Linked DNA regions of Caenorhabditis elegans. The protein of the gene in region 2 interacts with the protein of the main gene of each other region in a biochemical or structural test. Each region holds a gene or a part of one and is shown on either strand. Other genes may lie near its edges. The genes, in order: baf-1, emr-1 and lmn-1.

The links.
Region 1: the proteins of emr-1 (region 2) and baf-1 form a complex in vitro, tested with the Caenorhabditis elegans proteins (one study listed by BioGRID).
Region 3: the proteins of emr-1 (region 2) and lmn-1 form a complex in vitro, tested with the Caenorhabditis elegans proteins (one study listed by BioGRID).

The regions. Positions count from the first base shown.
Region 1 is NC_003281.10:9,465,703-9,468,595, reverse strand, and holds baf-1 (Barrier-to-autointegration factor 1), read right to left. Parts: upstream 1,133-2,893; 5' UTR 1,128-1,132; coding exon 1,005-1,127; intron 950-1,004; coding exon 803-949; 3' UTR 538-802; downstream 1-537. Other genes in the region: tag-342 (transcription initiation factor TFIID subunit 13 family protein), read right to left, coding at 30-201, 361-439; B0464.9 (putative protein phosphatase methylesterase 1), read right to left, coding at 1,534-1,671, 1,717-2,251, 2,301-2,410, 2,458-2,697, 2,752-2,823. UniProt on the Caenorhabditis elegans protein: DNA-binding protein which plays an essential role in nuclear envelope formation. Required for normal chromosome segregation during mitosis. Associates with the nuclear lamina via its interaction with LEM domain containing proteins emr-1 and lem-2.
Region 2 is NC_003279.8:1,840,520-1,843,833, reverse strand, and holds emr-1 (Emerin homolog 1), read right to left. Parts: upstream 1,390-3,314; 5' UTR 1,375-1,389; coding exon 1,236-1,374; intron 1,162-1,235; coding exon 911-1,161; intron 859-910; coding exon 748-858; 3' UTR 612-747; downstream 1-611. Other genes in the region: nlp-12 (Neuropeptide-Like Protein), read right to left, coding at 49-177, 235-293, 373-427; egl-30 (Guanine nucleotide-binding protein subunit alpha), read right to left, coding at 2,946-3,028. UniProt on the Caenorhabditis elegans protein: Nuclear lamina-associated inner nuclear membrane protein that is involved in cell division, nuclear structure organization, maintenance of nuclear envelope integrity and nuclear envelope reformation after mitosis.
Region 3 is NC_003279.8:8,761,044-8,766,168, forward strand, and holds lmn-1 (Lamin-1), read left to right. Parts: upstream 1-1,997; 5' UTR 1,998-2,012; coding exon 2,013-2,110; intron 2,111-2,199; coding exon 2,200-2,284; intron 2,285-2,332; coding exon 2,333-2,446; intron 2,447-2,601; coding exon 2,602-2,835; intron 2,836-2,887; coding exon 2,888-3,928; intron 3,929-4,012; coding exon 4,013-4,141; 3' UTR 4,142-4,588; downstream 4,589-5,125. UniProt on the Caenorhabditis elegans protein: Major component of the nuclear lamina, a fibrous layer on the nucleoplasmic side of the inner nuclear membrane. Provides a framework for the nuclear envelope and probably also interacts with chromatin.

The DNA.
Region 1 (2,893 bases), on a different chromosome or scaffold from region 2:
ATTATTTCGGAAAAAAAAAATCTGCTTACTTATTATCATAAACCTCTATAACATCGTTAATAAAGAGAACCAACTCGTTTTTCAGTATATTCACAACGAAATCTTCATTTTCAGAAAGTGGATTTTCGTCGTCTCCCGAAGTGAACATCAAACTCGTCACAACACTTCGAATCGATGGTTCAAGCTCATTTGAGTCATCTACTGAAAAAATAAATTCCGTGTGAATATTGTAACAAATCCGAAACTTTTTTGGAAACACACATTTGAAAATGTATTTTTCAGTATATTTTTTGAAAAAAAAAATTAATTTTTAACTTCGATAATTGTCGAATTGCCGCCAACCCGTGTAAAAATGCTCACATTTTATCTCCTGATCCAATGTTGGGCGAGCTTTTTCTGTGGTCTGTACCTTCTTTTTCACAGCCCTTTTCGGAGGCATCTGGAAATCACCATAGAATAGAAAATATTGTTTTTATTCCAAGTAAACTTTCGAACGACAACTTTCGTAATAAAAAACTTAGAAACACTCTTCAGGATCGTAGAAAATATTTTATTTGGAGGGAGAAAAATCGCAAAATTAAAGTCAAAAACAAAACAAGAACCGTAGTCCAAGACCACACGACAAGGGGGAAAACTTGGAAGTATGAGAAATATTTCAGAAACAGATTAATTTGAAATGGGGCATAGTCGCAAAGCGGAAAACGACTACACTGGAACAAATGGTGTTTTTCGAAGTGCAAATATGGCCATTGATGATTATAGAGGAGAATCAAATCGATGCTTAGCAGAAATATTGAGCAGTTTACATGAACTGATCTGCCCACTCGTTCAAACAATTGAACGCCGTCTTCGCGTGATTTGCAGTCACTCCAGCCGTCTCTTTCAGCCATTCGATAAACAAATCCTCGTCTTTCTTCAGAAGGAGATACTGTCCGAACAGTACGTAGGCCTGAAATTCAAATTTTAACATTGATCGAAAATTTGAGAAAAAAAAATCTACATACTTTATCGAAGCCTGCATCGGTGAGCTTGGTGCCATATGTTGGCCCGATCCCGGCGATGCATGTGACTTCTTTGTCGCCCATTGGCTCTCCGACGAACTCACGATGCTTAACAGAAGTCGACATGGTTTCTGAAACACAAAATAATTACATTCTTGAATTTGAAAATATTTTCGAAAATCGTAGTAAAAAGATAGTTGCGAAATAAAATAAAACTGGCAAGAATAGATAGGAAAATAGACAACGCTCCCTTTTAAACGAAACGCTTGGCGGCCACAGTTCAGCGGAGCGCGTTTGCATTCTGTCTGCGTCTCTCGATTTGCGCACTCTTTCACGAATACTTCTTTTTGACTGTAATTTTTTGGCATCTGCCTCTCCTCTAAAATAATCGATTCATTCGTATGTCGCTGACATTTATTATTCCCAAGAACTAAAAAGACGGGAAATTTAATCGATAATCTTTTCATATAAAATATTTTTTTCTTAACTTGTATAGAAATGTTGTGAAAATATTGGAAAACAAAATGAGCAATTATTGGTGATGACGTTTTCTGTATTCGAGAATCGCTGGATCTGGTGGTGATGCAAGGGCTGAGAATTTCGGTTGGGCAATTCTATGGCGGCAAGCGAATCTTCCGACTTCATCTGCAAGATTTTGTGGGCTATCTTCCTGCAAGACAATTTATATAAATTATTAATTGAGTATAACATTTACCTGAACACAATGTCCAACTTTTGGTAACACACAAGTCTGAAACTTTCCCTGCATTTGACCAATTGTGAGATCCCTGTCCAGCCGATCAACGCCCGCTAGAACAAGCATCTTCGGAACGGAACATCCCAAAAATTCTTTGGATAATCCTTCAAACCATCCTTTCCAGTACTGTTCTGTTGTTGTTAAATCAATTCGCCAAGTGTACTCGTGTTCCGATACTTCTCTAATTTGAGACGGCATTGAGACCCGTGCAGCTGTGGGATTCCTCGCTGTACCCGAAGAAAGGCACCAGTGAATGGCTTTTTCGATAGAAGGAAATGAAGAAGGCCTTGAATGTAAAAAATGAACCATTCCTCCAAGTGCTTCCATAGCGGAACCTTCGACAACATCAATGACAATGAGTGCAGCGACTTTTGAAGAAATCATCTTTGCATTCAATGTATGAATGGCCAATGCACCACCCATACTGTGTCCAACAATGCATACTGGTGAATCGTCTTCGCCGAAAATGTTCTTGAAGATTGCTCCAATATCTCTACAATATGTCGATAGAAGTTACAAAACTTATCAAAGCGAAACCTCACTTTATTTGGGTTTCTTTCGAAAGATCGTGCTCATCAGAACATTTAGTGTCGCCGTGTCCTCTTAAATCAGGTGCAACAACTCTGCATGATATTAAAGTTGCCAATTCTTTCTGAACAGAACCATTAATGACTGACACTAGAATAGAACAAAACATACCGCAAAACACGCCCATGTGAGGCCTGAATAACCTCCACCGTGAAGCAAATAGAAAATTGGACCTTCATTTCCCTTTATGTACACATTGAAAACATCTCCATCAATGTTTGCGTCCTTCTTTTCATCAAAAAAATCTGACCACGGTAGTTCAGACATTTCTCGTTTCTTTCCAGAAGTTGATGTGCTCGGAACTGGTGGTGGCCTTCCATGAGTGACCGCTTGACGAAGAAGATCATTTTGCTGAAATTGATATTTAATAAAACATCATCTTGTTAATTTTCACTATTAATGTACCCTGTGAGGAGTTGTGACATGTGACGTTTCCGATTGAAGATCCGGAAGAGTGTCTAATTTATCGTCGGACATGGTGATCTGTAAATTAATATATTTAAATATTTAAGACAATTAAATAGAAAGCTATATTTATTAAAATTGA
Region 2 (3,314 bases):
TTGGTGGTTTGGATGGCGGAGCAGGGAAAAATAGTTAGACGGGGTCGGTTATTGCCATTCCCAGATTGGCTCGAGCACAACTGGTCCAGAGCTGCCGCTGCTTCGCTTTCCGAACTGGAGAGGCCGATAGTCGCGTTTTCCGAACTGCAATGGACGGTACCCATCTCGCTTGCCGAACTGCAATTTATGTGTGTATAATATTTTTAACTTTTTTTAAAATGTCTTGTTCCCTACCTGAAGTGGCCGGTAATCGCGATCCTGACGGTCAAACGTCGGCGACTGTGTTGCAAAAACTGTAAAAAAAACGGAAGTAATTTTTAGAAAAAAAATTGGCCTAAAAATTGGCCTAAAAATAGTATTAAAACGACGAACCCTCCACGAATACGAGGATGAGCATGAGCAGGGCGCAGCTGTGGTGGCGGAGCATTTTGTCGGAGGCAATTGAAATAAGTTTCGCCGAGTCGAGGTGTCGGGCTTTTATACCACCCCCCCCCCCATCAGTAAACTACAGATTCGTCATATTTCCCAACGGAGCCGGGGGGACCACGCCTTTCCCCCCTACCATTTTGGTTAGCTTCTGGAGTTGATGGGCTCGTAAAAACTGAGAGAGAGATTCATAGCGTTTATCCAAATGAAGTGATGAAAATGGGGTGAAAGGATTTAAAGAAAAAGAGTGATGGGGGAGGGAGAGGGGTAAAAATAGCGATTTCAACAGTCAAAGAAAAAAATAGAAATTTAAAAAATAATTTAAATAGTATCCTCCGGATTCGTCTCGGCCACGAGCTTCAACTGCTCGGCGTTCTCGATCAAGAAGTAGGCGAAGACGGCGATGAAGACGAAGAGAATTGTGAATGTGATCTGGAAAATAGAAAATAAGTTTTTATTGCCAGAAAAAGGGCGAAAAACTCACCGTGCTTCCCAAGAATCCTCCTTTGTTGCTCTGAGCTTGACGAGCCGATGCCCGATCGGCGGCCATTTCCTCTTCCGTCAAGTATCGCATCGACTCCTCGCAATCGTCGCTGTCCGATTCGGGAGAGGTAGTAGCTGCCGCTGTTGCAGCTGACACGTTCTGGAAAACTCGTTGTGGCGGTGATTTCTTCGGTGACGAGCTGATGATCAATGAATCCTCGTTGAATTGAGAGTCGTTGAGATTTGATTGATCTGGAAATTAGAGGTTCGAAAACTTTAAAAATGTTATTTAGAAATTAATAAATAATTTAAATTCAAATCCTCACTGTTAATGCTTCCGTCTGATAACTTGATAAGCTTCTTCTCGTAGAGCTTGCGGGTCGTCGCCACAATTGGCCCAACAGAAACCCCGTGGCTTTTAAGGCTATCGCGTAGTTCGGCATCTGTCAGCTGGGAGACGTCCATTTTTTGTGAGATGGTCTGGAAAAAGCAAAAAATGACAATTTTCAAGCAAAAATTGAGGAAAACGAGCGATTTTCTACCTAAAATCTTGAGAAAATCGTTTATTTATTGAACATTTTACCAAAAAAATTAAAAATGCCCATTTTTTGTGAGATGGTCTGGAAAAGGCAAAAAAATGACAATTTTCGAGCAAAAATTGAGGAAGGGCGATTTTCTACTTAAAAAATGGTTTATTCATTGATTTTTCACCGAAAAAATGAAAAATTCTACAAAAAACTGATTAAAAACAGGAGAAAATGAAAAATTATGAAAAAATAATTTCAAACCCAAGTCAAATTGGCTGAGAGACAACGCGACGGCGAGAGACGCAGAGTGGACGGGTCTCGTCACGATATCGCTTTGTGTCGATTTACGGAGGAATTTCCAGCCCGCAGATTTAAATCAATGATTTTCGCGCGCGCTTTTTTTCCTGAATCATGATTCGAATCATACATAAATAAAATACGGAAAACGAGGTTTTTTTAATAAAGTTTCAACCATTTCTTTTTGTCCACAAAACATTTACATAAAATTAGATCAATGTTAATAGAAATAAATATGAAATTAAAAACTATCGCAAAAAGTCGATACAATAATGGGGAAGAAGAAGGGGGGATGGTGTGTGGATGGGGGATGGTTTTTTTTTCGGTTGAGAAGAAGAAGAAGGAAAAATGACAAAAAAAAATCGATGAAAAATGGAAAAAAATAGGGTGGGGGGGAGGATTTCGAGGTTAGCTTGATGGGAAAAAAATATGAAAAACGGGATTTTTAGGGTAAGGGTGAAGTTTGGGGAGGGGAGTGGAGAAAGCATTCGATAATTTTCGAAAAAAATATGGTGAAAACTCAAAAAAAACGTTATAATATTTGAATTATGTGGATGTGGGTGGGAGAAATTGAAGTTGAGGAGGAAAAAAAAACTATGTCCAACACGAAAAATGTGTTTTTTTTGTGGTTAGAATTGTTAGAAAGGTAAAAAAAATAAAAATTTGAATCAAGACAAAAAAAAACGAAAGAAGCGGCGGTTTGTTGTGGGGATTTTTGTGAGAAAAAAAAAGACAAAAAAAAAAATTTTTTTTGTGAATGACAGAGAGACTAGGTGGTGTTTTTGCATGCCGGAAACTAGGTTGATGGGTAGGGAAGGATGTGAAAACCGACTTTTTGTGATGATAAATGAGTATAGACAGGACAGAAAGAGAGAGAGAGAGAGAGAGAGAGAAGTTTTGTTTCTTTTTGCATTAGCTATATCAGAAAGCACATCCAAAAAAAGAAGAAAAAAGTGCTTATATGGAAAGAATATTCGGGAGGAGCATTTGTTTTAGGGAGGAAAATGAGAAAATAAGAAAATAAGGAAGAGATGGAGAGAGAGACAGACAGAGAGAGAAAGTTTTTTGCAAAAAAAAAACAAAAATTAGAAGGAGTACAAGAAAATGTTTCCTAGGTTTAGGTGGTGGTGTCTCACTCGACCCAGTGAGAGAGAGAGAGAGAGAGAGATGGATCATCATCATCATCATCCAATCCGACATGCGACTTTCTTCTTACACCAAGTTGTACTCCTTCAGATTATGCTGTAGAATTGTGTCTTTGACGGCGGCGAACACGAACCGAATGTTTTCCGTATCTGAAATAGAGGTCCCTTTTATTTGAAAATTTTAGATATTTTTAAACAATTTTTTAGTAATTCGCCATGAGCAACTCTAAGTGTCCATGGGACACCGAATCGGTAACCCGTGGCTACCATAAGTGCTTTTCTCGAACACGGAGTTCTGGCTTCCCTGGAAGAGTTTGGGCCATTTTAGCTCGCCCATATCTGGAGTAGATTTACGGCGCGTTGCGTGTCGCGGCTCAATTCTAGTTGTAAAACTGAATTTATTTATCCGTGTGGAGTACACGACTTTATCCGGCAG
Region 3 (5,125 bases), 6.9 Mb from region 2:
GGCACAAAAAAAAAAAAAACCGGACGCACTGCGTCCGGTTTTGGGGTAGGTTTCCACGGCGGCCGACAATTTCCGATTTTCGCCACTCACTATACTTAATCAGCAATTTTATAGTGAGTGGCGAAACTCGGAAATTGTCGGCCGTCGTGGATAGCTACCCCCAACCGGACGCATGTGCGTCCGGTTCGGACGACCGGACGTCCGGTTGTACAGCCCTAATTTTATATACTCAATTGTTAATCTGCATATTACCAAGAGACATGTTTTGCCCAAGTTCCTCTCACATTTAATCGATTCTCTTGTTTTTTCATTTCAATCTTTTTAGGGATCAAATGTGTTTTAGAGATGCAGGTGTCTAGAGAAAATTGTTTTCCTACTCTTTCATTTCGTATTCTTTTCATTTCACCAAACTTCTCTCTCGCGGCTAATCTCGCCTTCATAATAGAAATTTAGCTTCTAATTTTCGTGCTATACTAATATTCTACCACATGGTCACATCAAATGAGATAAAAACTGTCAACGCGCCAAAATGACACTCTCCCATTGATTTATTGCCCTTTGTCTCTGTGCGTCGACGCTCTAGTGCTCTTTCCAGATGTTGTTTCCTTCTCTTCTCAGCCTCCTTCTCTAGAATTCATTCATTCTGTGTCAAACACCAAAGAAGAACGACATTGTCTTCTCTCACACAAGACTGCTTATGATTTCTCGCTTCCTTCATCTGGCTCTGAATATGTCTTTCAATGGTACATGTTTATTGTTAATCGCCGAGTTTCAAAATTTACACTATCCATATAAAAAAGCGGCAAAACCTCAAAATTTCAGATGTTTGACCACTTCTCTAATACTCTCATCATGCCTCTCCATTATTCGTTCTATTTAACCCTGTACTGGCATGTTGCCAAGTTGTGTATATGTATGTTGTTTACCATATGCACACGTCTTTCCTGCTTCTCTACTTCTCTAGTCATTGGGACCGTGAGCATAAAAAACGAAAGAAAAACTTGAAAATAGTGCGCGAAACGGGAGAGATCAGAGATGAAGGGGTACGCAGCGCTCACTCGCGCGACTAAAGAGAGAGCATTGGCCTGGGCCATTGCCCTTCGAAACAAGATCGAGCGTTTTTCATCGTTTTTGAACCCTCGAAACTCCTACATATCACCTCTCATGCAACTTTTTTACACTAATTTGTGTAATTTGATATCCTATCTTATAGTTTATCAGGTCATTTCTCTTTTGTAGTAGTCCGAAAGTTTTGATTGATCGAATTTCGAAATTCTCCCTAAATTTTCGAAATTTTGTTACTTTCAAATTGACGCGACATGGACGGTCAATCAAAACCAAACAAGTATGCGAGAAATTCCCTTTTCTCTCTTTTTCTCTAATCATTTCAGTCCCATCTGCCTAGTTCTATCGGCAATTTGTGGAAGTGCGCAGATGATTTTTGAAGGCGAGGTGATAACGCCCTGCTAAAGCATTCTTATTCACGAGAGTTTCAAAAAACTATTGAAACGAGGTAAATCTTAGTTGAGTATACCTTGACAATTGTAGTTCTTTGCCGAGTTGCCTAATGTTTGAATTCAACGCTACTTACTGACTATGTTTATGCTTTTGTTTACGTCACTCTCACAAATGTTCCTTATTTCTCTACTATATTTCTTTCTGTTGAAACATTTAAAAAACGAAACAACACACATCTATGTGGAATACTGCCATCTGCCGATTTTGAGGTCACTTGGCGCGCCGTAACTCGCAAATAACCTAACAGCGCCAGATTTTTCGACAAACACACGCTTTCCGAAGTGGTATACACAACGGCCGTGTCCGCATGTTTGCCACACTTCTTTTGAGACAGAAAACTTTTGTTGTATAAAAATTTTATCACAAGAAATATCAAAATGTTGAGTCACGTTCGTGTGGCGCCTATGACGTTTCCTCTCTTCTCTTACATCTCTCTTTGTCTATTTCTGAAACTAAATCCAATATAATTAACTCTTCAGAAAGCAGCGAGAAAAATGTCATCTCGTAAAGGTACTCGTAGTTCTCGTATTGTTACGCTAGAGCGCTCAGCGAATTCGTCGCTAAGCAACAATGGAGGAGGCGACGATTCATTGTGAGTTTTTATTTTGCTTCTCTAGTTCCTGCACTCATAAACGCATTTCTTGTGTTATCTAAAAAAAAACTCGATGAAATGCTTTTCAGTGGCTCAACGCTTCTAGAAACTTCACGTCTTCAAGAGAAAGATCATTTGACTTCACTCAACAGTCGTCTTGCCACTTACATCGACGTGAGTTTTAATTTGGAAAGTATTCATATTTGAAAGTACACTTTTCAGAAAGTTCGTCAATTGGAGCAAGAGAACAACAGACTCCAGGTTCAAATTCGCGACATCGAAGTTGTTGAAAAGAAAGAGAAGTCAAACTTGGCCGATCGCTTCGAGGCGGAAAAGGTACACTTTGTTTATATTCTGATCGCCAAAGGTGTTCTGTGGGAAACTGATGCGGTGGTCTTATTATTCTCGCCGCGGTAAAGTAACAATGCAAATATAAGCTCTCGTTTTGGACGAATGATAAGTGTTGGAATATAGATTATTTGTATTTTCAGGCTCGTCTCCGTCGTGCCCTCGATTCGGCTCAAGATGAGCTCGCAAAATACAGGATCGAGTATGACGCTGCAAAGGTTGAAGTAAAGAAGTTGAAGCCACAAGTCGAAAAACTTGAGAGAGAACTCGCTGGAGCTGAGGAACAAGCCCTCCATGCCCAATCTATTGCTGATCAAAGTCAAGCAAAACAGAAGACGTTGCAGGCACGCAACGATAAATTGGTGGTGGAGAATGATGTAAGAAATTTTAATTTTATCAAAAGTAAATGTTCAATTTTGTTGTTTTCAGGATCTCAAAAAGCAGAACATCACTCTTCGTGACACCGTAGAAGGACTCAAGAAAGCCGTTGAAGATGAAACTCTTCTCCGAACAGCCGCCAACAATAAAATCAAGGCTCTGGAAGAAGATCTCGCTTTTGCTCTTCAACAGCACAAGGGAGAACTTGAAGAAGTTCGTCACAAGAGACAGGTCGACATGACAACCTACGCCAAGCAGATTAATGATGAGTATCAATCTAAGCTTCAAGATCAAATCGAAGAGATGCGTGCTCAGTTCAAGAACAATTTGCATCAAAACAAAACAGCTTTCGAAGATGCCTACAAAAACAAGCTCAATGCTGCTCGTGAACGCCAAGAGGAGGCTGTATCCGAAGCAATCCATCTTCGTGCCCGTGTTCGTGACTTGGAGACATCAAGCAGTGGAAATGCTTCGCTCATCGAACGTCTTCGTTCAGAGCTCGACACTCTGAAGAGATCGTTCCAAGAGAAGCTCGACGACAAGGATGCTCGAATTGCTGAACTTAATCAAGAGATCGAGCGCATGATGAGCGAGTTCCACGATCTTCTTGATGTTAAAATCCAATTGGACGCCGAACTCAAGACCTACCAAGCTCTCCTTGAGGGTGAGGAGGAGCGTCTCAATCTTACTCAGGAGGCGCCACAAAACACTTCAGTTCATCACGTCTCGTTTTCATCCGGAGGAGCAAGCGCTCAGCGCGGAGTGAAGCGTCGTCGCGTTGTCGATGTAAATGGAGAGGACCAAGACATTGATTATCTCAACCGTCGCTCCAAACTCAACAAAGAGACTGTTGGCCCAGTTGGAATCGACGAGGTTGATGAGGAAGGAAAGTGGGTCCGTGTTGCAAACAACTCTGAAGAAGAACAATCCATCGGAGGATACAAGTTGGTGGTCAAAGCTGGAAACAAAGAAGCCTCCTTCCAATTTTCATCTCGTATGAAGCTCGCTCCACATGCTAGCGCCACCGTTTGGTCTGCGGATGCTGGTGCCGTTCACCACCCACCAGAAGTCTACGTTATGAAGAAGCAACAGGTTGGTCAATTATTTTAAAATATTTCTGTCTTACTTTCATGAATAGAAGAAACAAAAAATGTTCATTGTAATTACAATTTTCAGTGGCCAATTGGAGATAACCCATCAGCTCGTCTTGAGGATAGTGAAGGAGACACTGTTTCTTCTATCACCGTTGAATTCAGCGAATCATCGGATCCATCGGACCCAGCCGATCGTTGTTCCATCATGTAATTGAGAGTCGATATTACATCAATCCATTTGGACCTCATTTTTACATCTATCTCTTCCTAATATTCCTTCTTGTTGTGTTGTCCTCGAGAGTTACACTGATCCTCTTCTTTTTCTCTGTCCCTCCTACGTTTTAACCGTGTTCTTGTTGTTAATATACTAGAATATGGCAATAATTTTGTTTTAAGGAAATCTCGAAATTTCACTGCCCTCTTTCCAAGAACACACCTTTCCCTAAGACTAGATCCAATTTCCATTTTTTTGAATTCATTGAGCTCACCGTCAAAATGTAAAATAGCTCGTTTTTAACCATTTGCAACAAAAGCATCAATCAAACTCCCTGTCTTCCAATGATGTTTCTTCCAACTTACCGATCGGTGTCGCTCATTAAAATTTCAAAGTGTATTTCGTTTATTTAACTTCAAAAACATGAAATATTTCTTTTCTTTCTTTACAACTCGTCTATCGTCTATTTTTTTAGGTTTATTCCATACATTTCTAAGATGGTTATGACATATAATTAGGATATGCAAGTACCGATTAAGCCAACTGTTTTTCTTTTCGAATCTATTCACTATTGAGCTCAAATGAGCACATGACAGTCGGTTAAGTGAGGTCATTGCATCACACAATAATAGAGGAGAACGTATTGAATACGGTAATTGGTTCGAATTTCTTGACAAAAATAAGCCCGTTTAGTTCAAAAACTGTAAATCTAAACAAGCCTCGATTCGAAAACTCGTAAAATCTCAGAATTAATACGCCTTTTTCACACCCCTTTTGTCAAAGCGGCTGTGGAAAAGTCAAACATTTGCGATTAGTTTGCTGGCGTTGTCCAATTGTCGAAATGTAAAATGAGATGGACATTTTTATGGGAAATCATCAAAGAGAATTGTTACGGTATCTCATTCCGACATACAGTAAAACTGATAAATGAGAAATAAACTGAGGTTACTGATCGAATAGTAGGTTTGAAGCAAGAAGCTT